3 linked regions of the Oreochromis niloticus genome follow. The protein of the gene in region 1 binds, or shares a complex with, the protein of each later gene. Links are inferred from orthologs where the notes say so. Each region holds a gene or a part of one and is shown in the gene's direction. Other genes may lie near its edges. The genes, in order: timm50, timm23a and timm17a.

Region 1 (10,346 bases):
TTGCGCTCAGTCTGTTCTGGAGCATGACGGACCCCACCCTGGTGTAGCCGGACACTACTTCAGTTTTCTGCCCTTTACTGTCAGTATCAGCATAATTTTTGCCCTTCCTTCATTGATTTTGTGAGTAAATAGTTTCTTCTTGCAATACGGTTTGTTTTCCTACAATTTCTTGCAATTCCTTACCATCCTAGCTTTAAGGTTTAACGGATATGGAGAGGGGTGTTAGGGGCTTATTTCGCTCAAGGCTGATAATGTGGACAAGATAGAAAATAACACATTTTGAGGGGTTTTTTTCTTGAGAATGACTTCCTAGTAAGACTTATTGACGACACCTTATTTGTGATACTATAGTATCACCTAAACTTTATCAGGAATGAGGAAACCATGTTTGGCTCCACTCACAAAACTGAGGCAACTAAAAACTAAATATGATCCTAAAATTGTTCACCTGTTAAAATATGTTCATTATCTGTAAAACCAACTGAGAGTGTTCAGTCTTGATGTGAAACAGAAAAGAGGAAATTTAAGCTTTTCCTCCTTTTAGGTTTTTTAAGCACTTCATCTGAACATGAGCAGAATTGATCATTTTCAATTCTGAAAGGAAATACACTGAAAATGGAAAGTAAATTATAATGGGTTAGGCTGTCTTTACCAGTAGAGTTCAGTTGTTTAGTACCAGTTTGATGGGGCATCTTGTTCAGTACTTGGGTTAGTACTACTCAAAATAATCAATTTATTTTAAATACTATGTACTCACATTAAATAAGTTGCACTAAATTAGTCATCTTAACCCTTTCAAGTGTAGTGGTCACTACAGTGGACAGCTATGTCCACATGTGTTTTGTTGTTATAGTTGCAACACAGCGGACGCTTATGCATCATCTCATACATTGTGAAATACTCTGTGAAAAGTTTGGGTGTCATCCTCGACAGTACTCTTTCAATTCACACATTAATAATGTCACTCGGTCTGCATATTTTCAATTGTGCAACATTAATCGTCTCTGTCCTTTTCTCACCTCACATGCCACTGCCATTCTTGTCCACAGCCTTGTTACTTCCCGGATTGATTATTGTAATTCACTTCTTTTTGGTCTTACTCAAAAATCCATCCACAAGCTTCAACGCATCCAGAATTCTGCTGCCCGTATCATCACCAGGACCCCTTCTGTCCACCACATCACTCCTGTGATGGCTTATCCCACATAACCTCTCCATTCGACTATTTTAAATTTGTTTATGTCTTATGCTTTTATGATTGTATAAACTCCTTGCTTTTATCTGGCTTTTTACTCTACTGTGTACAGTGACTTTGAGTGTTTTGAAAGACGCTTTCAAATAAAATAATAAAATGTATTATTATTATTATTATTATTATTATTATTATTATTATTGTGTGATCAGTGAACTGTGGTACATTCTGAGATGTGATTTTCACCCAGGTGTCATCCACATCCCTGAACCAATGACTTGCTGGTGTTCCAGGGTAGGATAGCAAAGCCCTCTTTTCCACTTCTTCCATGTACAAATTGGCCACAGTGGGTGAAACTGGGGAACCCATGGCACACCCGTGTTTCTGCCTGTAGTACTGACCCTTGTATGTGAAACAGGTGGAATGAAGACACAGTTCCAAAAGCAAACACACCTGGTCAATGCTGAGAGTGGTCCTGTTGTTGAGGTTGGGGTCATCCTGTAATCTCTTAAGAACTAACTACTTTGTAAGAGATTACAGGATGACCCCAACCTCAGCACCCTGAATTCAGACATACTTTGTTTTTCATGTGCATGTGCCATCATGGCCTCTCTTTGCACTTTTTGTAAGACCATGTATAGCAATGGTTAACTGATGTTAGCATCATTTGATTTGTGCTCTGAAAGCTTTGTTATATTTTTGTGATGTTTACTGTTTATGCTTTTGCTTCCTTGCAAGTAAAATAAACACGTTGAAACTTGTTACTCGGTGTGTCTCACGAGAATTTTTCTAACATTTTGTTCCTTCAAGCCGAATTTCAACATCTCTCCCGTTTATCTCTGCCAACGCTGACCGATACCGTGCACGGGGGAGTCTGGGTCTCTGGGTCTGATATAAGACCTCTGCCTGTCCCTCGTAAAGTGCCATGTGAAAGTGAGGCCGGGCAGCGGGAAAAGACACCAGAGAGAGAGGGAAATGTTCTGGGACCATCATAAAACCTGTACAGGTAAGTTAAAACCTCTATTTACGGGTCAGGTTTTGTCCAGGGAGTGATGTTTGTCAAAGAGCAATTTGCCAAAAAATGAATATCTGTGTTTAAACTACTGTAAATGACGTGTTGGCCTAGAATATGTGAAACATATGTCAAATGTATTCTCATGAATGATATCAACTCATCTTGAGCTACACATACAGCTCAGCACACAAGGTAGAAGCCACAATCAGTTTTTGGCAAAGTGACTCTTATCTATCCTTTATTTATTTGTCAGTGGACCGACACATCAAATTCACCAGGGAGGATATGAAAAGTGGCAGGTTAGCTTTCTTAGACTGTGAGATTTCCAGTCTGACGTGTACCGTAAACCTACACATACGGATCAGTATCTAAGGTTTGACTCTCATCATCCACTGGAGCACAAACTGGGTGTCATCAGGACGCTACAACACAGAGCGAACACCATCCCCACTGACACAGCAGCCAGGGAAGCAGAAGATGATCACATCAAGAAGGCCCTGAGTAAATGTGGTTATCCCAGCTGGACTTTTGTCAAAGCTGGGAAGGCACCTAAAGAAAACTCCAGCTGATCCAGGAGAGAAGGACAACCGCTGCCTAAGAGAAAACCCATAGTGATCCCGTATGTGTCAGGAGTATCGGAACAGTGGTTTTTAAACCCCAAAACACGCTGCGCCAAAAACTGGTCCACCCCAAGGATCGGGTCCCCCGACACAAACAGAGTAACATAGTGTACGCTGTTAAGTGCCAGGAGGATTGCCAGGATTTATACATCGGGGAAACCAAACAACCTCTGGCAGAGCAGATGGCACAACACAGCAGAGCTACCTCGTCAAGCCAGGACTCTGCAGTCTATTTACACCTACAGGCCAGTGGACACTCTTTCAACGATGAGGATGTACACATCCTGGACAGGGAGGAACGCTGGTTTGAGGGCGGAGTCAAAGAGGCATCTCTGAATCGAGGAGGCGGCCTAAGGGTACATTTCATTTCATTTCATTTCTTTATTTATTTCACACATGGTTCAACAGTGTTTCTTTTCCTACATACAAAACCTCCTTCCCATTAATATAACTCTGCACCCATGGGTGAAAAGGAGCAGGAAGAAGAATAAATTCTTGTTAGCACCTGCCCCCTATCTGCAATCCAAATACTCTTACAAGAGGGCGCCAATACCCCCCAAAAAACCCTCTAACATGTATCTTTATGTAACAATGCAAAACTAAACAACAAATCAATATAATCAGCAATATACAGCATTAAATGGCAATGAAAAATTTTCTTCCACATTTAGCCCTAATTACTTTCATGTTCTTCATATTGATTTATCCTTTTAAGTATGTAACACATTTTAAAACGGTGCATGTTTGTACAACTCTTGAGATTATCTTCGAGAGAATTCCATATTCTTATACCTTTGACTGTCGGACACATTTGCCTTTGTGTGGTCTTAGCAAACTGATGCTTAAAGTCAAACTTCCTTCTACTGTCCCCACTTCCTGAACACAATACAAACAAACTTTGTAACTTAAGAGGTAATGTGTTATCTGTCACCATCTTACAATGCTGTGATTGCAGCCATTTCCCAACTCTCTGTGAATGGTACATATTGCATATTAACGATCATGGAGCTGACCTCACAGCCCAAGTATTGAAGATGTGTGTGTGTGCTACTAAACTCATACCTGCGAAATTAGAACTGATATTTCTCATGCAGTGGTGGCTGGGAATTTCCCACAAGGACATGGACTCAGCTCATGTAAAATAAGGGAGGAGCAAACTTATAAAAGCTTCCATGACAGCCTTCTTTCTAAATCATTAGTCTGAGTGCACCGTGTACTGTCCAATCTGTATCCTCTATAAAAAGAAAAAAAAATGTCCTCTGGGAAAAGCTTTACTGTCAATAAGGTTTTGGCATAACTCTTTGACAGTGAAAGAGACATAAAGGAAAATGTATCAGAAACAGAGGATTGTGTTGAGGAGGACCCTGATTTTGAAGAATTCTCATTTGATGAGAATGAGAGTGTTGACCCTCCGGCTGGCTCTCACCCACCAGCAGAAGCAATCCCTTCCAAAAATGGAACGATAATTTGGTCCCTTTTCCAACTCCAACAACAGGGTAGACTTAGTGCTGCTATTGTTATCAAAATGTATCCAGACCTCACCAGATACGCAGTGAACCATGTTGAGGACATCAAGTCATTATTTGAGCTCTTCATGACACAGTCAACTGAAAATGCTGTACTTCAGATGACAAATTTAGAGGGGACGCATGTGTACAGGGACAGTTGGAAAGACTTGGATGTAACTGACTTGAAAGGCTACATTGGCTTGTTTGGCAGGAGTTTACAAGTCAAAAGGTGAAGCAACAGCAAGCCTTTGTAATGCTGAGACTGAAAGGGCAATATTTCCAGCCGCCATGTCTCTCAGGACCTTCCACGTTTTGTCCTGTGTCATACATGACAGGGAAACAAGGCAGGGCCGATGAGATCATGACAAACTTGCAGCAAAAAAGTACGTGTGGAACAAGTGGGCACAGCATTTACCCCTGCTGTACAATCCAGCCCCACATCCGACTGTTGATGAGTGCTTGGTTGCGCTTCGTAGCTGCTGTCCATATCGGCAATATATGCTGAGAAAACCTGCCAAATATGTGTTGTGTGTTCTTTTTTTCTCGCAGAAAGAGAGCTCAGGTCCAGTTAAAGTTAAACAGATTTATTGCTGTTGAAATAATAATTCATTGGAAAACCACAGTCTGCATCGGTTTTCTGTAGCCAACTCACGGAAAATAGATGGCCCTAACTTAACGGTACCCATATTTATAAAAGAGAATATGCGTCTACCTGATTGGTCAAAAACCGTTGAGAAGGGGCCATGGTTTAGCCTTAGCCCCCCTTATTGACGGCCTGGTTGTGCTCTGTTCTGCTCCCTCAGCTGCAACTTCACCTAGGGATGGACACACACACACACACACACACACACACACACACACACACACACACACACACACACACACACACACACACACACCTGTTACCCAGTTTCATGCATCTGAGGCAGCATCTATCTCGAGGGCTTTTGTTTCTTGACCTTGCTCTGGTTCACTCCTGCATTCTTGCACACAGCCTTCCATCATGTCTGCACAAACAACCCTCAATAATAATAACTTTTGTACTAGTTTGAGTGCTCAGTAAGTAACTATTTAAAGTGATCTACAGTCCCCATATCATTTGCCAGCACAGGTCTTGTAAACCAAACTTTTCGAATGCTCACATGTGGCATCAAAATATGTGCAGCATGTAATGCACAGTCCAGCTTTGCCTGGAATATGCACGTTTACACAGGTAAATCCCCTGGTGAAGCACCTGATTAGAAACATAATTAGAAAAATATTGGATGAAAGATTTTGAAGATGTGCTAAATCTAAAATTAAAAGTTTGACCTGATGGTGGCGCTATAGAAAAGGTCATGTCATCAACAAAAACCAATAGGGTTCATCCACTTGTGGTCATTAATGTTGACAGTAATTTTGAAAATATTTGAATGCAAACTTTTCAAGATACATTTATTCTAAATTAAAATTCTGGCCCGATGGTGGCGCTAGAGTTTCATTATCAAGGGGCTATTTATGTATTCAATAAATAAACAAAGTGCCTGACACAAACACTTCCTCATCAGTTATATGCAAACCATTTTCTGGAGGCAAATATCTCTTGGGGGTAAAACGTGTTAGTAATATTTGAGGAGAATATGAGGGTTAATGTCGCAATCGAAGGTCAGACTCACTCTTTCTTCTGATTGGTGTCAACCCTACAAAGCCCTCCCTCCTAGCGCCCCACGTGGCTTTCCACTCCTCTGATTGGGACGTCTGCCTGCCCCTCACATGGCCTCGGCCAATCGGGTGCTTTTGTCCTTCTTACTCGCGTCATTTGCGTTAGCTCTAGTGCTACTTTCCAACATGTCGGCTGTGTGTGTGCTCCCCATGTGTTTACGGGCGAGCCGGGGCCTCCTTCGGCTCAGGAGCGCGGCGGCGGGTGCCTCCGCCCCAGCCATGGTGGACGTCATCCGGACATTGTCCACGGACAAGCCGCCGGCCGCAGCGGGGAGTGCGACGGGCGGGTTAGCTCAGGCGATCCTCCAGGAGAGACTCCAGCAGCAGCAGCAGCCGACACAGGTGCGCTTCATTTTACAACCTTAACAGCACTCAGTGGCGTCGGCGGGGGCAACTGTACTAAGTAGTAGGTCCGACCGTGAAACCCCTCCCTCACGAGCCGCCTTGGTGATGTAAATCAACTCATGAACGAACATTTCCAACCTTAGCTCAGACTGACAGCTAGCTTACATAAAGTTCTTTTCCTGACCCACGCGGGTCCAGACGGACTAAACTGTGTGTTTTGTGGGGTTTGTCGCGACACACGTGATCTTCACAAATGTGACGTTATGACGGCACCACCCCACGCGGGCTCAGCTGTCTGCTGAATGAATGAACCCGGCATTAACTAGCTAGCCAGCATGCTAATGTTAGCATGCGTTTATCTAGAGTCTGGCTGTAGCAGCACAGCTTACCTGAGTCTGGCTCACGTGAGTGTCCTCACAGTGTGTGTACATCTGAGCATAGGTGTGACAGTGAGCGTGCAGCTGGCACTGCTGTGGTTACCTGCCCTTCACCTGCAGGTGTGTGTGTTTGTAGGGGCACAGCTTGATTTTATCTGCGGGATAAATCGCGTTAGCAGCCGAGGTTTGTTTCGCTCTGAAGGTCAGAACAGACCCCCACCCTCCTCCTCCATGTGCAGCGCAGATGTGGTGTCTGGTCACGGAGGAAGCCACCCACCACGTGACTCCTAACCGTGTGTTTCCCACAGACTCCAAACATAAAACTGTGACATCTACAGACGAACTGTAAAAAGGATTTTAGTCAAAGACTGAGTAATTGCCACTACACTTCTTCCCAGCAGCGGATGCAGGAAGTTCTGAAATCTGTTAAAATCCATGAATTTAATTGGACACGAAGGAAATCAACAGCCTTCCATTAGACCATTTTGGTTTCTGTCAGTCTGTATAACATTTAAAAATGCACACATTCACACATCCATGCCTGCGTGTGTGAATGCTGCTGAGGAACACAAATGAATGAAATGTTAAGGTTGACAATCTTTGCTGACGTATGTTGAATAAAATAACACTGATGAGTGGAAACTGAATCGACTCTTTAACTGCTGGATTCCAAATCAAATTGTCCCATAAGTTTTCAGTTAGTTTGGCATGCTCCTGATGAGATGATGGACGGTGTTTTAGGGGTGATCTCCTCCCAGACATGGACCAGTGCATCTGTGCGTGCTGCAGTCTGCAGTTCTGTTTTTCAGCATCAGGTGCATGAACCTCCCAGAGGTTCTCCTTGGGTTCAAGTCTGGGGACCATGAGTGTCATCATCTTTCAGAAACTCACTACACACCCCGGCTACACGAGGGCCTACTGCAGCAGCATCAGACCTGAGACTGGGTTTGAAGACTTTATCCAGCTAAACCAGTCATGCTGGATGAGCCTGAAGGTATCGTAACGTTCACCGCTGCGTCTCCAGACTCTCACCTGTCTCCTGTGCTCAGTGTGAACCTGCTCTCATCCACCAGAGCTGGACTGTTGGTTGTGGTGTCCTCTGCTGCACTGTGCTGTGAGCCCGGGCCCTGCTACATGCGGTCTGATTCTGACAATCTGCTCAGAAACATGCCAGAGGAGCATGATGAAGGCTGCTATGTAGCAGTCATGCAGCGCTCCTCTAATGCCCTGCACAGCTCTCCTCGTCTCCTCCACGCTCTGTCGACTGTGCCAGCACACACACCAAACCGCCTCCTGTCAGTTTATCTTGTTTCTGTAAATTCTCTTTTTGGGAATAAAGTTGTTGGGTTTTTGTTTTTTTTACAACACAAGGAAAAACATTTCCTTGTGTTAAACTGACTGAAGCTGACGTCTCTAACGCTCTCCTCTCAGTTCAGACTGAAGGTGAGCGCATCAGTGCAGCACTTTTCATTAATGTTAGTTCAGAGTTAAACAGAAATGCTTGTTTTTGTTTCAGGGTCAGCCTCCTCCAGAGGGAGGGGAGGGCGAGAGGGAGGGAGAGAAGGCCGAGGACAGGAAGCAGAAGGAGAACACGGCCTACGCCAAGAAGATGGTGCTGCGGTTGGCGGGATTCATGGGAGTCGGCGCCGCGGTTGCCATCGTTTATATATTCGGTGAGTCTTTAAGCTTCGTCCTGTGCACTCAGATGGAGAGTCTTTGCTGCCTCTCCTGACAGCGTCCTCACTTAGGGTCAGTTTCAGCCGGTTTGCTTCACAGGTGGAAACACAGTCACTGTCAGCCAATCAGCTTGCTCAGTAGCAGGTCGCTATGTTCAAATCTGGTTCGACCTCTTTCTGTAGGAGTGATGTGACAAAAGGAGCTGAAAATAAATTTTAGTAGACACAAAGCTGTTTCTACCTGGTTTCTATCCAGAAACTTGACAAACATTAAAGAGCTGCAGAGTTTTAATGTTTTAGATCAGGGTTGGGAAACTCCAGGCCTCGAGGGCCGGTGTCCTGCAGGTTTTAGATATCAGCATGGGTCATCTAAACCCTGTTCATTACAAGGCCTCTGGAGAACTTCACGACATGTTGAGGAGGTAATTTAACCATTTGAATCAGCTGTGTTGGATCAAGGACACATCAGATTGATCCTGTCAAACCTCCCATGAGAAAGAAAAGCAGATCAGTCAGAGGACAAACTGAGAAATTCTTGAGAAGGTTTAAGGAGCGTTTTTTTAAACTAATAGTTGACAGAGTCTAGTGTGGTGTGGCATTTTTAACAGAGAAGAGGGTTTTTATTGTTTCCTTCATGCGAGTGTGCTGTAAGGATACAGGGGTTATGTATGCAGGGCAGCTCTGTATTTTTCTTTTTAGATTTTAATGATGGTTTTGTTGGAATAAATGCGCCACAGCTACCCTGGGGGTCAGTAATATTAAACTCCTGGAAAGATCACAGTGGGCTTTTTGGCCGGGCACTTTTATACCCCTGTTTGAAAACATGAACCCAGCACGTGGTTGTTGGTCATGGATGAAAGATGGATCAGATGTTTGGTTCTGCTGCTGGGTTTAAACATGTCAGTTTAAGGCACTTCAAACGGCCTCCAGGAGATGCAGCAGGAGGTCTTTATTCTTTGAACCATCTTCAAAAGCCACAAAAAAACAAAAGAGCAGGTATAATCTGTATGTCAGGCTGCGCTGAGGCTCTGAACTTCCTCTTCCTGTGATGGAAAGGTGGGTGTGATTGGTCACACTCAGCTCCCTGATTGCAGGGACAGATGGGTGGAGCTAGCAGCCTGTCCTTCAGAGGAGAGTCAGACTGAGGATGGTGAAGAGCATCGTTGACAGTAGGGCTGCCACGATTAGTCGACTAGTCACGATTACGTCGACGATTTCTAATTTAATAGTCGACGCGTCGTTTGAAGCTTTGTAAGATCGCAAAAGACGCAGGAATAAGTAGTAGGATTTAAGAGTGTAATAACGGACTGAAACAGAAGATGGCAGCACTGCATGCACAAGGATGCCAGCTGCCGTTAAACCCCGAAGAAGAAGAAACTGTCCCAGAATTCATAGCGCGACCCATCGCGGCCCTGCTCAGTTTCCAACAATGGCGGCAGCTAGTTAGTTTTAATGTTACTCTTATTATTCTTTCTGGGTCACAAAATAAACGATTAACATGTTTTCAGGCAAGAATGTAGCTGTGTAAACTTAAAATAACTGCTTGGTTTATCAAGACACATCATATTTTCAAAAGTGCTCCGACGTTTTCTGAGATGTCTGTTACCCACCAGCTCGCTAGCTAGCGGGGGTTGAAGGCTCACTAGAGCCGGTGAGAACACCGGACTCTGGGCAAATCGTTTTCAAACCCACCGCCGTCTTTCACTACTCAGGTGAAGCATGGTAAATGGCCTGTATTTATATAGCGCTTTTCTAGTCCCTAAGGACCCCAAAGCGCTTTACACATCCAGTCATCCACACATTCACACACTGGTGATGGCAGCTACATTGTAGCCACAGCTGCCCTGGGGCGCACTGACAGAGGCGAGGCTGCCGGACACTGGCGCCACCGGGCCCTCTGACCACCACCAGT
Region 2 (10,571 bases), on another chromosome or scaffold:
AACCCAAACTTTACCAAACGTGCCTTCTTCCGATAGCCCAAAGCCAGTCGAAATTACAACCTAGACTTTACTGAGGATGGGCCACAAACTGGTGAAGGGCTCCTAAATAACCCCCGGCTGTGCCATACTGTCTCTCTGAGCTACCATGCCTTCAGTCCATTTGATGCAATAATAATAACATGGTAACTAAACTGATAATGGCGGTACTTATCCAGCACAGAAACCCTCCATAAACACTAAACTGACGGAGATATGTTGATATTTTGATACATTTTTTTCCTCAGCGGGCACCACTCTTACCTTAATCGCATTATAACATTTATAATTCATTTACAAATGCTCACGTATTGTCATGCTTTCCTTTTAAAAAGGCGGTTCCAGAAATGCATTTGACAGGTCAGATACTGCACAGCGCGTACCGTCAAAAATGTCTCTTATTTCCTCTTGGTAACACATAAAATGCCAACGTGGAGCTTTTTAAAAAAAACTTCTTTCATTATAAAGCGACAGGTGCTCGATGGGGAAAAAGAACAAACTGGAATCCAAAATGCCAAAGTATCTCTGAGTGTTTCCTAATAGGTAACGTGTCTTTATACTGAGACGACACATACAGGACGAATGCCAAGCCTGTGCAGTATGAATACACACATAAAGGGGAGGGAAGGTTGCACTCCTTTTGTCAAATTCTCGAGGACTTACACAACGATGCCTTTTTTTTCTCCACACTACAGTATTCAGCGAGCTTGAACAACAGTGCCTTTATTTATTGAGAGCGATGGAACAATGTTACACCTAAATCTTTTACTATGGCATCATGGCTTTGTGCCCAGCTTGGTATTATATCATCTACATTTTTACGACTTTACATCCACGGCTCTTCTCAATTCAAATTACGGTGCCAAGAGAATAAATAAAAATAATAAAAGGTGGATCATTTGAATTGGAAGTGCAACGCAGTATCGAAGCTACATCTGAAATGTTTATGCGAGGTTCGGACGCCTCCGTAGAACAGTGTTACATTTTATGTCTGTGTTTTATTGTTTCTTTCGGGTGATTGTGTTGCTGGAGATGAAGTCGTCCTTATGTCTCTGCATGTGTTTTTTTTTTTTTCGAGGGTGTGGTACGGTTTTACAAACACAAAAACACACACACGCACACACACACAAGCCAAGTGATGCCTTGATATAAGAGAAAACATGCATTCGTAACATCTGTAACAAGTTTATAATGTATTTTTATATCCTATTTTGTACGTGAAAATAACATTAAATGACCTTTTCAGATGAGAACATTATGCCTTATTATGGAGAATAATTTGATAACTATCACTATCCTTCATGTGTCATAAGTAATCATGTCACAATGTCCTGATAAACTGGAGTCTCTGATGTTCTCTGTATTAACTTGAGCCTCCTTTGCTTGCCTTCTGTGCCTTTTTGTATACTATGAGTGTGACAATTAACAGTGTAGTACAACATTAATCTACTCTTCAGTGCCAAGTGTAGGTTACTAACTGTTACCACTTCTGTGATTATTAACCTCTTTAATGGTATCTGTCTCTGCCTTTAAAAAAAAAATACATGTGTGTCTAAAAAGAATTAAAATGAAAAAAGGAAGATACGTGTTGAACGATGATCTTTTAACTTTTAAAGTATTCTGAGCAGGAATAACTCTTTGTAAATGATTAAACTCATAGTTGTAAAACTAACAAACTTTGTTGCTTTTTCTCTGTAGCACTTAATTATGCAAATCGGCTTCCTTTCCGCATACTAATCACCAAACACTCCTCAGATTCACAAGGGGTGGGGAAAAAACCCAAGCTGATACTTAAAGACAAAAAGCAGGGAAAAGGGCCAAAACATGTTTTTCCCACTTCTCCTTTTTTTCTTCTTCCTGTGTTCTGGCTCTCTGTCTTCCTCTGTTATTTAAGTGGACATTGCACACATTGATGTGTGTAATAAGAGAGAAGAAAACACCCAGCTCACCATGGTTTCTCACAGGCATGCACATGTATAACAGAAAAAAAATAAAAGTGGGGGGGGGGGGGGGCGTGGGTTTCAGGTTTGGAGGACGAGATGGCTGGGGAATTGAAGGGAAATTGATTGTGCAAGCTCGCCCTTAAACATCTGCAGAGTAAATATTCCACATGATCACGGTCCGTCCCTGAAGCCCCAGAAAACCACAGCTAATAACCCACATGCTGTGTGTCATGGTAGCTATTGCTTGTTTTCATTTAAACAGAGAAATTCGAGCCTGTCGACACCTGTAGTTTAAAAAGTTCTTTTTAAAACTGCAGATTTAAAGTTTCTCACACGCAAAAAAAAAAAAGCAAAAAAAAAAGAATCACATGAGGGTTTTTTCTGTGGTGAATGAACCCGTGGGTGGCTCATTCGCCCTCTCCCTGCCCTTCCTGCTTTCATTGTGGAGTCGGGGGGGGGGGGGTTGATATTGAACTTCAGGCTTGGAGTTGAGCCTGCACTGTGGAGGCAACCCCACTGATCACAGAGAGAGAGAGGGGACATAATGTGACCACTGCTGACAATCCTCTGGACAGGAAGAAGCAGAGTGGAAGCACTGAGTGGACATAGCAAGAGAGAAAAAAGAGAAGAGAGAATGTGTGTGTGTGGATAGAGATGGGTGGGGGTGCGTGCATGTCTGGATGGGTGTGTACCCTTGTCTTCATTTTTCCTGTTTTCACTTGAGTTTTTGTGCTTTTTTTTCATTCTTGTTCTCTGGTATGAAACACTCTTTAAGCATCTGGTAATGTATTCTGCAGTCAGCGCTCCCCATTGCCAACACTGGGGCCCAGGGCTCCCAGAGCTTACAATCAAAGTGTGTTAGTGTGTGCATGTGTGTGTGGGAGAAAATGAGCAAAAAGTGAGAAGGAAAGACAGGTTGATTTACATTGCTATGTATGCACAGCATTCTCCACATAATGAACAGCCCCTGATTTCCTCTGCTTGGTAAATATTTGATGACTGAGCGGTGGAATGATTTTAGCTGAAATTCAGAGGACTCCTACAAGCTGCTTAAAAGTTGTATTTCAAATCCCTCTCTCTCTTTCTCTCTTGTCCTCTTCCCATGTAAATAAGGCCAACTCCCCCTAACTCCACACACCCTTCTGAGGCAGTTTAAAGACCCAACACTGTCTCCTTGTATCCTTGGCAACCAGCATACACTGGGGTCCTGTCGTGGCCTCTCTGTCTTTTGTGTTTGGGAGCTCAGAGAGACAGAAAGAAAGAGAGAGAGGGAGAGTAAGAAGAGAGGAGAGGAAGGAGACGAAAACAAGACTTACTGAAAAAGACAACAAAGATGACATCACCGCTATTTTATCCCACAACTGAAAATTTGGTTTGTAGCCCAACGGTGATGAGAATGATGATTATGATGATGAGTAGCCAGAGGCACAAAATGGGTAGCAGCTCAATCTGAGAGAGAGAGAGGGGGGGGGAGGAGAGAGAGAGGGGCCCAGGGCTGAATGGGGCATTGTGGGAAAGACAGTGGGCACACTGGGCAGTAACACAGAGAACACTAACTCACAGATCATGCCAGAGAGTCTGAAAACACCCACACTGGGCGACAATGGCAAACTTCATCGCTCCACTTGGCCCCCTCTGAATACACACATACAATGGCAGAATCCAAATAAGATGCTCTGTTATTCGTGAAATTCAACACACTACATTCCTTCAGTGCCTCCATCCCTTTGGACAGCAGCAGATGGCCTGGTCCGAGCTGCACTGAACGTGCACGTCATGTGTTGCATCACAGGTAGGGCACCCAGCTGGCCTGAAAGGTGTGACAGGTGTCACGTGGAAGTTGTTTTACCTCCCCGGCTCTGCTTCCCTGCTTCAAGTAAATGCAAATGGCGTCATGCAAATTTAACTTGTATGTGCCACCACTGGGAACAAATTTAACTTAATCAGTTAATTAAATCAAGCCTAATTAGAGCGAGGACCGAGAAGGACCAGAACCAGCAGGTTTGACCCTCTGCAACTGGTTTCATCTATACGGTGGGCTCTCTGCTGCCACCCTGTGTCGAATGTGAGGAATTGCACCTCTTACTCGAGAAATATTTGCAATAAACCGAACAGGTAAGGAGATAAAAGACAGGAAAATAAAAAACCCACAGCATGCGTCAGCAGGAGAGCTGAATTCGTTATCTGACTGAATGACTAGTTCCAAGAAAGGTACGACAATGAGTCTTGATGGGGATTTTTTTTTTTTCACAATTTCACAAACTTCTGATAGAAGGATTAGATTAGAAATAAAATAAGTAAAAGTTGCAGTAACGCCACAGAGATCTATGAGAATTAAATAATGATTAATAATCATGGGGTTATCTGTTGTACTAATTTGTTTTATTGCACCATATGTCAAACATCTGAAATTCATCTGCTTCATCTGGATGTTATCAGTCCACTCAATGGATGTGAGTCTCAGACAATGAGGCCTACTGATTGGATTTTTAAGACGTTTCAGTTTTTATACCCATTAAATAAAATGAAGTGTGTAGTGAGTATTTTGTACATAAAATAATTGTTGGTATATTTGTAATTAAAGTATTTTTGAAGCTGACAATAGAAAAATCATGAGGTCAAACTTGTTTTCAAGTGCAAGAACAATATTGTAAATTTACCAGTTTATACTGTATAATCATTATTACCAGGAGAAGCAGAATTTTAAAACAGATTGTTCCTCTTTCTCTTTTTTATTATGTTTTACCATTATCGACATTTTCATATAATTACTTTTACTTACATGGAATATATTCTTGTACCACCAATGCAATTTCTATCTTAAAAACATTCTATATCTGCTTTTATTATGCAAGGAATCGTGAGGCTGCAGAACAATATGGATTTATCCCAGCCAATCAGCAAAGATCAGGCTATGTGACAGATAATGACATTATTGCATGCAATCAATCAACAGTGACCTGGGGCATTTCACACCTCTGCGTTCTTTCAGGAAATTGGGTTTTTCTACCCCTACCTACTCTCACACCCGCGGTCATAACATTGAAACTAACAGCGGTAAGTTGTTCTATTTTTTGTGGCATAAAAAAGGTAGCACCATATTTGATCACAGGCCCTGTTCACCTGAAACTAGTGCAAGTAATGGTAAGAACATTTTTTGACATACACTGGATGGATCTGTGAACCGTACTTATTTCGTATTACAGACATTTTCAGGCTATAATAATTAAATATGAGTAATTTTATGGGTTTTTTTGCTTTGTTTTTGTTTTTGTTTTGTTTTGTTTTTTTACCTTTTAGCAGTTTTTATTATACTTAAATTGCATACATTGGTGTTTATTTTCCCTGTTAGTCTTATTACTGCTAAAAACGATATAGTAATTCAATATTTGTGATTTATTTTGATTTTGATTTCATTACAAATCAAGTCAATATTTTATCATTTTGTTTTTGGTAGATCTTTTTTTTCTTTTTTCTTTTTGCAGTGGTCTACTTGGCTCTTGTATGGAAGCTTACCCATTCAGTACTATGCAAGAGAATAACATAACATATTTGGGTTTATACAAAACTGTGTGAATGAACTTACATTAACTTAAATCTTTGAAGAAATGTATAAATAATTTGCCAAATTATCTTACTTGAGATTACAACAGCTTCACCAAGTACCATGAAGCAGGTGGCTGTGACTGGTGATATGCAGGTTTGTGTGTAAATATATAGCATAATAACCACATTGTCTTATTGGATACTACTACCTTACAGTAGTTTCACAAAGTATCATAAAGCCTGTCACTGGTACATGTAATATTCTGATTCATCAGAATATTACATATATTATTATATTATATGATCTCTATAGGGTTGAAATTCTGAATTTCCATACCCTATAAAGGGTTAAATGGATCTCGTGTCCACAGTTACCCTGCAGTCAGTTTTTTTACGCTCTGCCTGGTCCTCAAGTTTGCCCTTTAGTTAAGTCAACAGATCCCAGATCCGTTGAACTGTCGTAAAACCGTGGTTTTATTAACGATATCAGAAAGATTTTTTAGTCGACTTATCACTAATAGATAAGCAATAGTACGAACTTTTGGTGTTAAAAACAAGTCTGAGCCGATGTTTTCTCTCATTTTTCACAAGTTACTGTGGGTTTTGTTGACGTAACGACAGTGCAGCACCGGTCATCGCTTTACGGCGGAGCGTGCTGCTGGAGGTCAGAGGCATGACGATAACGCGAGATTGGTAATATCGAAGCAAAAAGACGTAATTTTCGCTCTAAAAATCCAGCAAGACCAACAAATACGACCTGTGTTGACGTTTCCTTCTGGCAGTAGTGAATTCAGGAGCTCGTCTGATATACGTTTGTCTAATAGCTTGAGGGTTTCGACATATCTTGCTAACGTTAGCCAGTCGGCTACTGTAGCAACTCCCCTTCAGCCTCCTGTTTGACTCTCGGAACATTTATCCAAGCATGGATAACAACTCACAAGGATCGGGGGGAGTTAAAGCAGGCCTGGGGAGTCTTTTTGGAGGGGGTGCACCTCAATACTCCAACACAGAGCTTGCAGGTGTCCCACGTAAGTGTCATGCAATCTAACTGTGATGCTAGTTACTATTACATTACTTAGGTGTTGCTGTACTGTCATTCAGTATCTGAAAAATCAACTCAGTGGATAATTGATCGTTTACATTACAGTGACTGGAATGAGCCCTTTGTCCCCTTATCTCAACGTGGACCCACGTTATCTGGTTCAGGTAAAGCTGAGTCTGTCTCCTTTTCTTTGCTGTGAGTGAGAATGTTTTGGATTTTTTTTTTTTCCAGGCATGAGTATTTGAATCTTGTGTTTTAGGACACAGATGAATTCATCTTACCTACAGGGGCCAATAAGACAAGAGGAAGATTTGAATTGGCTTTCTTTACCATCGGAGGCTCCTGCATGACTGGTAAGAAACTGGTACACTGACAAAACGGGTTTAGTGCTGAATATGACTTGGAAGCATGTGCAAATTAAAGTACTGTATAGTACAGACTAAGTAGAAGTATGTTGATGTCCTTGTTTTGTCTGTCCAATTCATCTACATTTTTTCCTGTTGAGAGCGACAGCTGTGGTCAGAAGATTACATAAAGGTGGAATGATTGCACTGCATACATCTTTAATGAAAAACAAGATTGAATTTATTTTTGACAGAGTCTAAATTACACATAGAGGCTCAAATATAATATACCAACTATTATTTGGTTAGCAAGTTCCACCTTGATCAGATGCTTTTGGTTTCCGTCAATAAGCTTCTGGCATAACTGTGGCTGGACATTTGATGACACTTCTTGGCAGAAATGATAGTTTATTTGTTGTTTCCCGCATGGACCTGGCTTTTAAGCAGAGTCTGTAACTTTGGAACATATTCATGTTCCATTCACGGATATGTTCATATGGGTAACTGCAAATTTAAGTCGAGCTTGAAGGTTTTTGGAGCAGGGGATCTTTCATGGTTGGCACTTTCTCAGCCCATGGTAATGTAAAACTGGCTTTTACATTGAATTTGACTTATGGACAGTGAGGCTGGTGTTTTGGTTTCCAGTTCATGGTAGGCTTGAGCCTTGGTGGTTCCTAGGTTGCTCCTGAACGTGCTAACCAATTTCCTGTCATAAGGGTGACAGTTTTGGTCATCTTCCAAACCTTATGTTCAGCTATGTTTAAAAAAAACAAAAACCAAAAACACAAGAGACAGACATAAAGTGTGGGTATAGAAACACAAATGCAACAAGAACACACACACAGTTAATGGCATATAAATCTGTCAATGTTATTTATTAAAACCAAAGCATGATGCAGGTGGAATAGTGTGAAATAATCCTTTGACTGACCCTTTGTTGACCTTTTCTGCATCCTTGTTTGAAATGCAGGGGCGACATTTGGGGCATTAAATGGCCTTAGAATGGGTTTGAAGGAGACCAGAGACATGGCATGGTCCAAACCACGTAACGTACAGTAAGTTTGGTTACAGAATTCAGTTTATCGAATGGTTTTACGCTTGGATTTGGGTTGCACGTTGTTCAAATGTTTATCTTCCCTCCCCAGGATTCTCAACATGGTGACAAGGCAGGGCGCTTCATGGGCCAACACTCTGGGCTCTATTGGTAAAGCTTTATTGTTACTTAAAAAAATGATGTAGAGGTGTTACTGTAACAAGAATATCTATGAATCCCATGGTTGGAAGATCTTAGTGTTACTGATTTAAATGGATGGATGTATTTACAGGATTTTTAGTTTTCTAATTCAGTATATAATCATAATTTAATTATTTTGTTTTTCTTTATGTCACTGCAGCCTTGCTGTATAGTGCTTTTGGTGTTGTGATAGAGAAAGCCAGAGGAGCAGAAGACGACATCAACACAGTGGCTGCTGGGACATTAACGGGGATGCTCTTTAAATCTGGCGGTTGGTGTCTTTTCCTTTTTTCTGCTTCTACTTTATATCTGGCATTAATGTATATTAATGTACCTCTGTGTGTTTTTAACCTTTTAAATATTAGTTTTTACCAATAAATGATCCAAACATTAGTTTTAGCAAATATCAGGCTGTCAGCAAGCAAAATGGCATTTACCAATGTTGGTGTTCATCAGTTATTTGTCATTTATTTTGCTCTGCAGTTTGATAAAGACTGAAAATTTCTTTGGTTCTTGTTTACAAAATGGGTGACAACATAAACAAAGTAAACACAAACATGTATGGAAATGCTCAGTTTTTTAGTTAAGCCTTGCCAGTACAGACTTGGACCCCAAGTCTGTACTGGCAAGCTGCCTTAATTGTTGCCTTAATTGTTCATGGCATCGATTCAGCAACGTGCTGGAGATTTTGGTCCACACTGACATGATAGCATCACAAAGTTGCTGTGCATTTGTCAGCTGCGCTTCCATGATGACTCACCACTTAGGTGGTCTGTTGGATTGAGATCTGGTGACTGTTGCCATTCAGCTGGCAGATTAGACAGTTGCGTTAACAAGCAGGTGAGCAGGTGTACTAAATAAAAGGGCCAGTGGCTGTTTTAAGTTGTCAGTTAGCAGACTTTTAAAATCCTATTAAAATGATAGTTTGTTCAAAAGAATGAGTTAAATGTGACACATACAGTGTTCATATTCTCTTATTCGAAAAGCTATTAGCAGGGATTCTTTTATATTAAATCAAGGCTAAATTTTGAACCATATGTCGTAATCATTAATACTGCACTGACTTATTCATCTTATGCTGTATAAATGTTGTGTGGGCATGTCGTGACTTACAAAGGGCAGTACAGTGAATGCGCAGGCACTGAGATTATCTTTGGAAAGCACCTAAACTTTGTGTTATTAATTTACTCCATGCTGTTTGAAGTATTAGGTTTATCTTTGCCCACCTGGTACTTTGGCTAAGCTGAAGCAATTATTGTTTACTGTAATTAAAATGATTATTGTGATGCATGTTAAGCTGTATGACTCACTCTGTTTGTTTTCTCAGGTGGATTAAAGGGCGTAGCTCGTGGAGGTCTGGTTGGTTTAGCCTTGTCTGGTGCCTACGCTCTCTACAACAACTGGGACCATCTCACCGGCTCTCCTTCATCGAGGCTGTACTAAACTCCCCCACACAGCTGCTTCAACATTAGGGCCAAATATTTTGAGGACGCAGCCTTTAACCACAGCGCTAAAAGGCATTAGACTCTGGTCAAATGCTTTTTCTTTTTTTTTCTTTTTTTCCATTTTTGTTTAGTTTTTTGGGGGTTTTTCATGGTGCGAATTGGTCGCAGTTCACTGGTTTCCCATCATAGCTGTTTTCCAGGAGCATTCTGGGAACTATGAGATGTGTCTTGGAAAGGTTTTGGACTGAATTAAAAGGAAATCCAGACGTAGACCGTCCAGTGACAGTTCTCCTTTCATTTATGTTGATTCTCTGAGGTGTTCCTGTCACTGATCTGATCAGTAATGAGAGCACTCTGTGAGGATGCGGTATAAAAATATACTTTTTGCGATGATTGTTAATGGAACACATGTTATTACGCTAGATTTTAAATACCCATGATATTTGGGTTCAGTGAGTCAATTTGTAAGATAACCTCCAACATCTGTCGTGTTGTTTAGCCCTTGGATAACAACACATTCATGTTCTGATTCATGTTGGACTGAAAGACTCTTCTGTAATAGAAAAACAGCTCAGACCTGCAGTCAGAGGGAAGCCTTGGGGTTAGTTTACTCTTCTATTTATTGAAACATATTGGTTTCTGGTCCACTGTGGAAGAAGAAATCACTGTAAACTGTACCTTGAAGTGCATGCTGTTAATATGTGTCCATCAAACCCACTGTATTATAGATTAAAATAAAATAAAGAAAACAAAACTAAGGAGGTGTTCAGAGATTTTGCTTTTAACCAATTTTATTGCATAAATGAGATTGGATGTAAAAGGTGGTGAGCAGTGTGTACTATGCAGTGCTTCACCAGAGTATAAGTATATACTGTAAGAAGATGACAACACATTCAGAACATGTATTAACATCATGGAGTGGAAGGAACTGGCTGTGAGACTGTCTGTAGACGTCGGACATTTAATGGCAGAGCTTATGTT
Region 3 (10,999 bases), on another chromosome or scaffold:
AGAGTTGGTTAACCACAGTGACCACGTGAAAGAGAAGTTTAATGCTGAGCGGAAACCAGAGGAGAAGGCGCAAAGAGAGGACGGTAAGGTTAAGAAAGCTGAGGATAGTGGGAAACTTGCTAACTGTGCTTCCAAAAACAGCCCTAACAGCAAGGCGAAGGAGGCAGAGGAGGAAGACGAAGACTCGAGCATGTTTGATGAGCTCATGCAGCAGGTGCGAAGCAACGACCCCTCCCTCACTGAGCTCAACGTCAACAACTCAGAGGTCATCAAGACGAAAACGCTCATCGAGTTCGCAGAAGCTTTGCACAACAACACCCACGTCAAGACGTTCGCTCTCGCTAACTGCCGTGCGGACGACCATGTCGCTTATGCCATTGCCGGCACGATCCGCAGCAACAAGACTATCACCAGCATCAACCTCGACTCCAACCATCTCACCGGGAAGGGCATCCTGTCTCTCATCCAGGCGCTGCAGCACAACTCCACGCTGACCGAGCTGCGCTTTCAGAACCAGCGGCACATCTGCGGAGGGAAGACCGAGATGGAGATGGTCAAGATCCTGAAAGACAACACCACCCTGCTCAAGCTGGGCTATCACTTTGAGTTAGCAGGACCCAGAATGACCACGACAAACATACTGAGTCGGAACATGGACAGGCAGAGGCAGAAGCGCCTGCAGGAGCAGAAGCAGGCCCAGGCCAATGGGGAGAAGAAGGGAACACTTGAGGTGCCCAAGAGCGGAGGTGGAGGATCTCTGAGGAGTTCTCCCAAAGCTTCGCCTAAACCTTCACCCATCCCTTCACCTGTGCCTTCGCCAAAGCTCACTCCAAGAAAAGGAGCTGGAGGTCCGGCTCCACCACCACCTCCGCCTCCTCCTGGGGGTGGACCACCACCTCCTCCACCTCCTATGGTGGATGCAAACCGCCCAGGTGGTACGAAGAACTCAAGGGACCAACTGCTTGCCTCTATCAGAGGAACCAATATAAAACAGCTGAAGAAGGTACATCAGAAGGGTTGACGAAGAGGTTAGCTCACCGATGCTGTGTTTGGATTCACTAATGTTTTATTTTTCTCACAGGTGCCGGTGCCAAAGTGGCTGCAGTGATATTTCCTGCTGGAATATAAAGTGAAGAAGAAGAAGAGCGAGGGAGAACAGACATCTCACCAGAGGGTTTCTAGGGGATAAACTTTATAAATTCCCCTGGCTGGTTAAAGTGCAGTGGGGCAGATGAAGACAGTGAAACATGAGACGATTGGACGAACAGCCCTCACTATGAGTTCTCCCAACAACACTGGACCAAAAAGACTCTGTGGAGAATGAGTGATGAAGGGCTCTCTGCAGAGAGTGCCATGGGTTTGAGGCTGTTTGTCTTCCATTCATACTGACGCTTGGCTGGTTATTTGCACTAGATAATATGAGGCCGATCATATAACATGTTGGCGTGTATATGCATCTGAATGTGTGGGGGAGTGTGTGATGAGCTTAATAAGAGATTCAAACAACTCTATAAAACTAATACTCAAAAGTATGTAATTGAGATTAATTTGAAAAGTTATTTATTTGTGGAGAGGGAATCCACCTTATTAGCTGTAAATCTGTAAGTCAAACTGGGAATATCAGGGAATTAACAAACATGGCGGCCTGACTTAAGAAAATCTGGGTGGGTGGAGAAAACAAAAAGGTCAAGGTGGTCTTTGATTGTGTGTCTCAAATCTCAAGACATCTCAGGCAGGTTTGGAAAGCAGCCCAGTGGAGTCCTGGGACATAACGAATGAGTCTTAGCACGGAAATAATTACATCATGCATTTTATCAGGAAGTGCAGGAAGATAAGTTTCAGCGTCTGATGTTGTGTTTTGTGCAGAATCATTCTAGCCTGGGTTTTACATCAAAATGTCAGAAACACCATTAAATCAACACTACTGTTGGTTAATGTGCTATTTAAAAGTGAATATCAGTTCTAAAGGAAATTTAATGTGATTAGCAAAAACCCGAGTGTTGTAATGAAGCACATACATTATTACACGTTTTTCTTACAGAGCCTGTATGTTTTCAATAAAAGATTCTGCTATGTTTGCAAGTTTAATGATACCTGCCTGATAGAAGTGATTGGAATGTTTTAATAATCTGTTATTATATTATAATTTTTAGCTACAATAAATCAAATTATGTATATGATAATGTCATTAATTCTATATATATGTGCATATGATTATATTTGTATGAATATAGATGTGCTCAGACGTTTACATCACTGATCATGGGCATGTTTCAGGCTTTTAATGATTTCTTCGAACTGTTCTTTATCCATATTGCAATGATTGTACAGCACACAGCTTTAATTTCTTTGAAAAATAAGAACTGGGTACACAAGTTTTAATTTTTCCAAAGTCTGCACGGGGTCAAAATTATACATAGAGCCTCAAATATATACTTATACCTCAATAATACTTGGTTAAATGTCCCTTAACACATTTGGTAGTCATCAGCAAGCTTCCAGCTGGATATTTGACTAATACTGGTAGAATTGGTAGATTTTATTTAAATTGGTTGGTTTCCTGGCACAGACCTGCCTTTTAAACATTGCCCACAATTTTCAAAAGGATTGAGGTTTGGCCTTTTATTTGTTTTTCTGTCTGTTTAGAAGTATTGCCTTGTTAAAAGAACCTACTTTGTCCAAGTTTCAGCTTTTTGGCTCCTAATTTGAGGTGAAATTCAGGAAATTGGAGATAGTCCTCCTTCTTCATTTGTCCATCCACTTTGTGCAATGTACCAGTACCACTGCCACCATGCTTCACAGTTGGTACAGATGTCTTTGGTTTGAAAGGGTCACCTCTACTCTTTAAAATATAACTCTCGTCAGTGTACCACAATAGTTCAATCTTTGTCTTGTCTGACCATAAAACTTTTCTCCAGAAGGCATTTGGTTTGTCCATGGGGTCAGCAGCAAATTTCAGTTGTGGTTTAAGGTGTAGATTTTGGATCAGGGACCCTCTCAGTCAATGGTGATGGCATGTTTAGAAATGGTTCCATGAAACGTTCCCAACTTGTATAAATCTACAATTCTCCTGAACTTCATTGAGTTCGTTGGACTTTCCCATTATTCAGAGTATTGGGGAATTCAGTGGTTGCTGTCAAACAGATGCTTTTTATGGAGACAAAGAGGAACTACCAATCGTAATCTCTCATGATCATTGGCAAGAAGCAAATAGACCTCGGCCTTGTCGAGTTAAAAGACACTTTAAAACCTTCAGCAGCACTTATTAAAAGGTTTTAGTCTGTGTCTGTTTTTGGCCTGTGTGTATAATTTTGACCCTGTGTGGATTAGAAAAAATTACAAATAAATTCAAACACAATTCTTGCATTTTAAAGTAAATAAAGACGTATGCTGTACGATGCTTCCACCCTGGAAAAGGAGCAGCTCGAAGAAATCCTTATGAGCCCCAAATGGTCATCACATTCATGCCTATGATGAGTGTATGGAAGCTTCTGACCACAGCTGTATATACATTCAAAAATGCAATGGCTTGTACTCACATCAGGATTTTACGACATCACTATGATTTTTGTGGCTAGCTGGGGTCCAATAACTTACTTAGGGTAAGGTGGAAACTTGCGGTGTCCATATGCTAAAAAATACCTTTCCAGGAAAGCAGGAGGCCTCTCGTGTCTCATAGTTTAACTACTGAAATAACCATGGATTCAGATTTTTTAAATTTATTATGTATCTGCATTTCTTGATGGATTAATTTAAAAAAAACTACAAGGCAGAACCTTTACCAGACAAAAAACATTATATCAACTAGCGGATGTTTTCGTAGCATGTATATCTGTGCTTCTGCAGTGGACCACGAAGAACTTTTCTTCTATCTGTTGCTCTTTACATAATGTGTTTAAAGCTACGTGGAAACATTGGGAGCTGTCTAGTGTCCACCCACCAGCTGGAAAGGTAGCCATCATCCAGAGAAAAAAGAGAGCAGCAGCAGCAGGCCAGTTTATCTCTCTGCAGCCTTGCCTCAGTCTCTGCATCCACAAAATGCCTATATTTGGTCATTTCTCAATGAGGGCTTGCTCTGTAAGTCATTCCTTTCTCGTTCCTAATAATGGGCAGCGAGCCAGCCTTCTGTCTTTTAGCTGTAGCTGCTACTCTGACCAATAGTCTCAGAAGGAAGAAAAAGAGGAGAAGGAATGAAATGTTGAGATTACTGGTTTTCAGTGCCATCAGAAGGCCTCTAAGTACATTGCATTGCTATTACTAAGAAAACACTAGGAGCACAGCAGAGTGTGGTTATTTTGCTATGAAGATTTCTATTTGTGTTGCAGAACATGTAAAAAAAAAAAGATTTTATTACGGGGTGTTCTATTGTTTTTCTACCTGTTTTTTAAGCTTTGTTGCTGTAAATAAGGCTTTATGCGATCAGTGTGACGTTGCTTCTGTTGATAGAAATGTCAAAACTCTCATATACATGTCTGGCTGTCCTTTAATTTGCTTCATGTTGCTTATCGATGTGAATCAGCAAACATCTCAAGTACAATGTGCCATCTTTGCCTTTTATTATTTTACAGCTTTATTTTGTGTTGCTTACAAAGGATTGCTTAATACATCTATAATAAGATTCATACCCCACTGAATTGTTCACAACAAACTGTGAATTATTACACCATTAATGATGGCAGCAGCCAGGTGGGGTTTATTTTTATTTTTATGTGCTCTGGTTTATTGTTTCTAATTGTGTAGGTTTTGTGTTGTTATGCTGCACTTTCTGTTCCTGTTATGTTTAAGTATCACAGTCTGTATCCACTGAGTTATTTAGTCCCTTCAGTGCGTTCTTAGGTTGACTCAGTATTTCAGTTATTCATTCCTCTTTTATTTTGGTAGTCTTTTGTATCTCGTCTCTTGCAATTAGTTTAACTTCCTGTTTCTTGATTTGGTTGGACAGTGTCTCATTACACTCATGTTTCTGATTCCCCTGATTACCTTCCATGTGTATAACTAGTCCTGACTCCATTGAACTTTGCATTTTGAATTCCATGGTCATGTTGTATGTTTTCCCTGTCTGCTGTTAGATTCAGTTTGCGTCTTCTCATTGACTTTTGCATTTCTGGATTTCAGCAACAACCTTTAATAAAAGCTATGTTTTTAGTTACATCTGCCTGCCTTTGAGGAACCTGTTTTCAGGGGCGTCTACAGATTTTTTTCATAGGGGTGACCATATGGGGGTAGGGTTGCCATCTGTCCCGTTTTAGTCGGGACATCCTGTATAATAAGCAAAATTAGTTTGTCCCTTATTCCACTTTAAATGTCACGTATATAGACCGTTACCTGCAATGTCACATACAGTGCATATTTACACTATACCCAGTTGGTTGTGCACTTTGCTTCTGGTAAGCCAGAGTATCCCTTATTTGATAATTAAAAAGCTGGCCAATGGGGGCAGGGGGGACTAAAAACATTGGCGTGGCACACAAAAAAACTGAATTTTGAGTTTTATTATACTGTTGTCAAATACAGGTTACTTGAAAAATATAGCAAAAAAGAGAGAAAGAAAAGAATTATATGCCTAGTTCATTTCCTGCTATCAAAGTTGATATCACTGAAAATAGGTACATATGAAAACCAAATAAGATTTTAAAATCCATAATAATCTGTTTTAATTGACTGATTGATTGACTGGAAGTCCCAGTCATCGCTTTAATGATTCTCAGCAGAGTTGATCTGAAGCGGCTTAAGCAAATTTTACTTAAGTAAAAGCTGATTCAGAATAGAATAGAAAGAAAGATATAGACAAAATAAAAACAAAATAAACAGACAAAATAAATATCTAGATGCTTCAATATCAGTTAAAAAAGAGAAAACAGCATCGAATTAAAAATACTCAAGTATAATATAAGTCTATAGTGATTGAACAGTTCTGCTTTTTTACTTTACACCATTCTTTACAAGATTTTTTGGTATTTCTATGGATAGCTTTACGAAATAGGCTGTAATAACTTTAATAAACTCTCAGGACGGCAGCCTGAAGCTCGTCCTTCACCCCTGCATGCTCTGTTCCTTTAAGACATGACGTTGTCTCTATAGTGTCGTTACGTCAGGTGTTTGATAATCGTTACGTCAGGCGGAACAGCAAAGAACAAAATGGAGGAGTATGCCAGAGAGCCATGGTGAGTCCTAAAATTAAAATTAATCCCGTTTTCCGCACTGTTTCAGCGTGTACTGCAGTGGGCTGCGTTTTGAATACATGCCATGTTAGTTGTGTTTAATGTTTTTTATTTTATATCACGTGACACGACCGAAACACCTCGAAACCGGCCGGCTAGCTGTCGTTAGCAGAAATGCTAACTTCGCATACACAAGTGAAGGTAGTTTGAGCGAGCACTGCGTCGGGACGGCTAAGTCACGTTGTGACCTTGTCGGTTTTATTGCCACATGTCATTGCTTTAAATTTACTGACCCCACAAACCGGTGCTTAAAAAAGGCATATAACATCTATTGTAAACGCATACTGGTAGCCATTCGGGAAAAGTTGGAGTAGTTGTTTTAGTATTATTTTGCTTTGGCGCACAAGTAAGCTAGCTGGATTAGCTACTTGTGCGCTATCTAGACTGCAGCCTTATGACGCCAGCTAGCTTGAGACATGTCCTGTTCAAATAGTTTATGAACTTTTAACAACGTCACTGAGGATTTAAAATAAATGTTTTTACAATTACATACACTTTTTCCCGGTGGCTGCCCTCGTGTATGCTTATTTTGGTTTAGGTTTAATTTATAACAACCGTGAACTAAATAAACTTTTTAAAAGTTAAAGGTTGGCCTGGTTCGCTGTTTTTCTCCCACTTATGTTTTTATTATTTTGGCCAGCTTTGAATAACAATTTAAGATCGGATACTAATGGTCAAAAACACGGGACACAAGGTTACTGTCCTTCAGTATCACTGCAAAATGTTCTTTTCGTGATTTAAGATGTAATGCATCTGTTTAACATAAACGAATGGCTATGACTAAAATGGAGAATCCAGTTTTACATACATAAACGATTACATTTTCCTGATTTTGACCAGAAGTCATATTACATAGAATGCAACCATCTAACTATGTAAACCTGTTCTAATAAAGTCGTGTGTGAAAAGTAAACGTGCAGTGTGTTTGTTTAAATTTGAGATGCGGTCATGTGAAGTATAATCCTCACTGCTCAGACCTTGTGTTGAAACGTAATGCTTCATGTTTTACACTGGGTCAGAGGTTGTCATTAAAATAGGACACAGAGAGTGACCCTGTGTGTTTGTGTGCGTGTCTGTGTTTTTCTTCGTCTGCCTCCATCTCGCCCTATCCCTAGCATCGTTTTCTGTCACACCAACCCTCTGCATGCCCTCCTCCACTACGTTGCCCCTCTGAGGGCTTCCGCTTTTGCTCATGTCTGGCAGGTCTGTATTCAGCATCTCTTTTTTTTTTTTTTTTTTTTTTTTTTTTTTTTTGGTCAAATGTGTGTGTGTGTGTGTACACATATATAATGTATGTATGTATGTACACACTAACCGTCCACAGCACATGTTCAGACCATCTCAGCCTTGCCTCTCAAACTTAGTTTCTGTTTAAACTGAGCTTTCGCTATAATACTCATTTCTAATCCTGTCCATTGTCTCTTAGTTCACTGCCAATCTTAACATCTTCATCTCAGCCTCCTGTCTTTTTGTTAGTGCCACTGTCTGCACATCATACATCTCGGCAGGTCTCACTACTATTCTTTTGTAAACCTTCCCTTTCACTCTTGCTGTCATAAATCAGCCCTGACACTAGTCTCCATCACCACCGCCCTGCCGAATCTCTTCTTCACTTCTCTTGTGCACTGTTGGTTGCTTTTGGATGTATTTAAACTCATCTGACTACTCTTCACAGCTTCACTGTTACATCGGTCTCCCTCTCAAAGGCCAAGTCTGTGTGTGTATAGTTAGATTTTACGAATGTTGATATTCAGATGACCTATATCTTATTGTCATATTACCAGTAATAAACTAGTTCTTCTTCCTTTACCTTTGGATTAATTTAGACTTACAGGGAACATTAAGAGATTGTTATGAACATGCAATGAGAGATCTCAAATGTCATGACATTATTAACTTAAGCAAACTAAAATGTCTGTGTTCTGCTTTTAGCCCCTGGAGGATTGTGGATGACTGTGGGGGAGCTTTCACCATGGGAGCTATTGGAGGAGGAATATTTCAGGCAGTGAAAGGCTTCAGAAATGCACCCTCGGTAAGTTCAAGGACTGTTTTCTGGTCTCAGTCAAAGCTGACATTCAAGGTACTGTCCTTGGGGTCGGTGTCACACTCAAAAACACTTGATGATGAAGCAGTGTTTCTGTCCCTGTAAACAGGAAATTTTCTTTTTAACCCAACCTGAATTTCGAAGACGCACCATTTTCTTTTCAACTTATGTTATCAATCATAATCTGAAAATTCTAAATCTTTGGTCTCAGAAATCCTGACCTGACAGTGAATTTCCACTGATGCATGTTTTTTGTCTCTCTTTTTTATGTAGGGGATGAGCCACAGAATGAGGGGTAGCTTAACTGCTATCAAGACCAGAGCCCCACAGCTCGGGGGTAAGAACAATTGCCGAACTGTTTCAAAGGTCATTTCTCTTCCTTTGTAAAGAGCATGGGCTGTAGTCAGCAGCATGTTGTACATCGTCTGCAGTTCCGATGGTGACAAGTTAATCTTGGGAAATATTTCAGCTCCGTATATTAAAGTAATTATCCTTTAATTAAATAAGCTGCTATTGGAGCCCGAAGGCATAATCTGTGTACAGAATTTTTAATACTTTATTTGCTGTTGAAGTGTGTTAGTGGTAGAAGTCACTTGTGTAAATATGTGACGTGGGTGATTGCTTAACAAAGTGACAAGCGTATCTTCACTGATAACTTCAGCTGATGCAAATCTTTTCTTTGGCGTGTTGCAGGTAGCTTCGCAGTATGGGGAGGCCTCTTCTCCATGATTGACTGCGGTTTAGTAAAAGTGCGAGGGAAGGAGGATCCATGGAACTCAATAACAAGTGGGGCCATGACAGGAGCTATTCTTGCTGCAAGAAGTGAGTAGCCAACAGAAAACTTGCATACCTCATACAAACAGCAAATGTGCTTTCACATGCATGTCCACATTTATTACAACCCCTCCTGGGTGTGAGATTTTCAGGCTTTTTACTTCAGTGGCTTCTTGTGGGAGGTTCTTAAAAAAGAAACAAAACCTGCAACAGCTGGTCCAGTAAATCCAGTTTAGACTTTCCTGCAGTCAGTATGAGGAAATGGAGTTGTTGATTCTTGTAACTGGTCTGCATATTTTCATTTTGGTCTACTTCTCTTTATAGATTAGTTTTTGCATCACTTTCTGGTCATTTTGCTTACTTTACTGGAGCAGAAAAACTTGAAGATATTTGTACAGGGACTGTGGGGTCCTCATGTAATTCTGAACAACTTTAACAAAAGATTGAATGGACAGAAGTGGTTTACACATTCGCCCGACAAGCAAAAGATTCCCATTTCCAGTGGAGTTGCGTCAGGAATGGCGAGCAGCGGAAAGTAGCATGAAAACACTTGTGCTATATACCTTTTATTGAAATGGATTATAATAAGTTGTATCCAAAAATAGTGGATTAAAACTGATACAAAAATTGACGGTGGGAACATTTTCTAACAAACAGTATCATCTCAGTCTTGTTGAATTTACCTTTTAAGTGCAGAAATGAATGTTTTATGTGATTTTAGTCAATTAATGCTTTTGGTTTGTCCATAGATGGACCGGTAGCCATGTTTGGCTCTGCCGCCATGGGAGGTATCCTGCTGGCATTGATAGAGGGCGCTGGAATCCTGCTTACTAGGTTTGCCTCTTCACAGTTTCCAACTGGTGAGTTATACTTAGGTGATTTTTTTTTTATTAAACTCAATGAAAGAGACTGAAGAGTGTTTTCTGTAACGAGGACCCATTGTGATAAATTACTGTACATAAAAGTCTACCTAAGCACCAGAAGCCATCAGGCGTGAAAGAATACTTAGATGAAAGATGACATGACTGCGGCAAAGAAAAAAAACACTGAATGTACTGCGACTTCAGCTCTTGTTGCCCAGCGCCTGATATGTTTATCTTTGTTGACTGTACTTTAGGAGTGTTAGTCAACCCCCAGCTTGCTCACATGCTTTGCCGAAAACAGTATCCAGTCACCATGCACACAGTAGCATGGATTATAAACATCAGGTCTAATATGTGTGATAAATCTCATCTGATTTTTCTGCAAATGTTCAAAATTTTACTGCTTGTGTTTGTATTGTGGGACAAAACAGAACTTGATCATCATATTGAATTTGATCATCTTTAAAACTTATTCTGAAACAGTGTTTATCAGTGATGATACTACAGTTATGGCAAAATGCGAATATTTGAAGACTGAGTCAGCTTTCTGAAGAAACTGACTATTTTAATTTGTGACTGTTTTTGAATAATTGGAAAAAAACACCCAGTCGTCATATGTCAGTGAGGACCTTTGGGAAGTCTTTTTGATTCATCAGTTTGCTCTTTTAGACTTTTGGCTCTGATCTCACTCTGAGTTTTTTTCCTCTTTAGGACCCCAGTTTGCAGAGGAACCTGCCCCTGCTCCCATGCCCACCTCTCCCTTTGGAGACTACAGACAATATCAGTGAGAGGAAGTCCTCACCTCTTTATCCTCTAGGCCTTTTTTGAATTCCTTGCTGAAGTTAAAAAGAAGAAATGGCGCTGCAGAGTACCACACATCAAACAGTAGAAAGTGCACCCAACTTTATGGACTGTCGGAGAAGTGAACGACAAAACACGTCACCATTTTCCTTCTTGCAGGAGCCATGTACACATCTGCCTTTTGCCATTGTCAGGGTTGTCATGTGCATCTGTTTCACCTAGCAGTGGTAAAATACAGACAGCTGAGAATTGTTGTGAGGATGAGATGTGCTTTTCTATTTTGTTTACATACAGTA

What was found.
Region 2: timm50 (region 1) and timm23a share a complex: the UniProt entries of both Homo sapiens proteins name them as parts of the TIM23 complex. The link is inferred for Oreochromis niloticus from reciprocal best matches to the Homo sapiens genes TIMM50 and TIMM23.
Region 3: timm50 (region 1) and timm17a share a complex: the UniProt entries of both Homo sapiens proteins name them as parts of the TIM23 complex. The link is inferred for Oreochromis niloticus from reciprocal best matches to the Homo sapiens genes TIMM50 and TIMM17A.

What each region holds. Positions count from the first base shown.
Region 1 is NC_031979.2:37,472,680-37,483,025, forward strand, and holds the start of timm50 (mitochondrial import inner membrane translocase subunit TIM50), read left to right. Parts: upstream 1-6,080; 5' UTR 6,081-6,087; coding exon 6,088-6,378; intron 6,379-6,770; exon of another isoform or gene 6,771-8,145; intron 8,146-8,274; coding exon 8,275-8,431; intron 8,432-10,346. UniProt on the Homo sapiens protein: Essential component of the TIM23 complex, a complex that mediates the translocation of transit peptide-containing proteins across the mitochondrial inner membrane. Has some phosphatase activity in vitro; however such activity may not be relevant in vivo.
Region 2 is NC_031973.2:8,932,516-8,943,086, forward strand, and holds timm23a (mitochondrial import inner membrane translocase subunit Tim23), read left to right. Parts: upstream 1-6,063; 5' UTR 6,064-6,447; coding exon 6,448-6,553; intron 6,554-6,672; coding exon 6,673-6,731; intron 6,732-6,826; coding exon 6,827-6,920; intron 6,921-7,881; coding exon 7,882-7,966; intron 7,967-8,056; coding exon 8,057-8,115; intron 8,116-8,305; coding exon 8,306-8,416; intron 8,417-9,472; coding exon 9,473-9,588; 3' UTR 9,589-10,325; downstream 10,326-10,571. UniProt on the Homo sapiens protein: Essential component of the TIM23 complex, a complex that mediates the translocation of transit peptide-containing proteins across the mitochondrial inner membrane.
Region 3 is NC_031970.2:6,726,834-6,737,832, forward strand, and holds the start of timm17a (mitochondrial import inner membrane translocase subunit Tim17-A), read left to right. Parts: upstream 1-6,018; 5' UTR 6,019-6,138; coding exon 6,139-6,164; intron 6,165-7,286; exon of another isoform or gene 7,287-7,413; coding exon of another isoform or gene 7,414-7,424; intron 7,425-8,153; coding exon 8,154-8,253; intron 8,254-8,538; coding exon 8,539-8,602; intron 8,603-8,958; coding exon 8,959-9,087; intron 9,088-9,788; coding exon 9,789-9,899; intron 9,900-10,613; coding exon 10,614-10,690; 3' UTR 10,691-10,999. Other genes in the region: lmod1b (leiomodin-1), read left to right, coding at 1-1,003, 1,082-1,108. UniProt on the Homo sapiens protein: Essential component of the TIM23 complex, a complex that mediates the translocation of transit peptide-containing proteins across the mitochondrial inner membrane.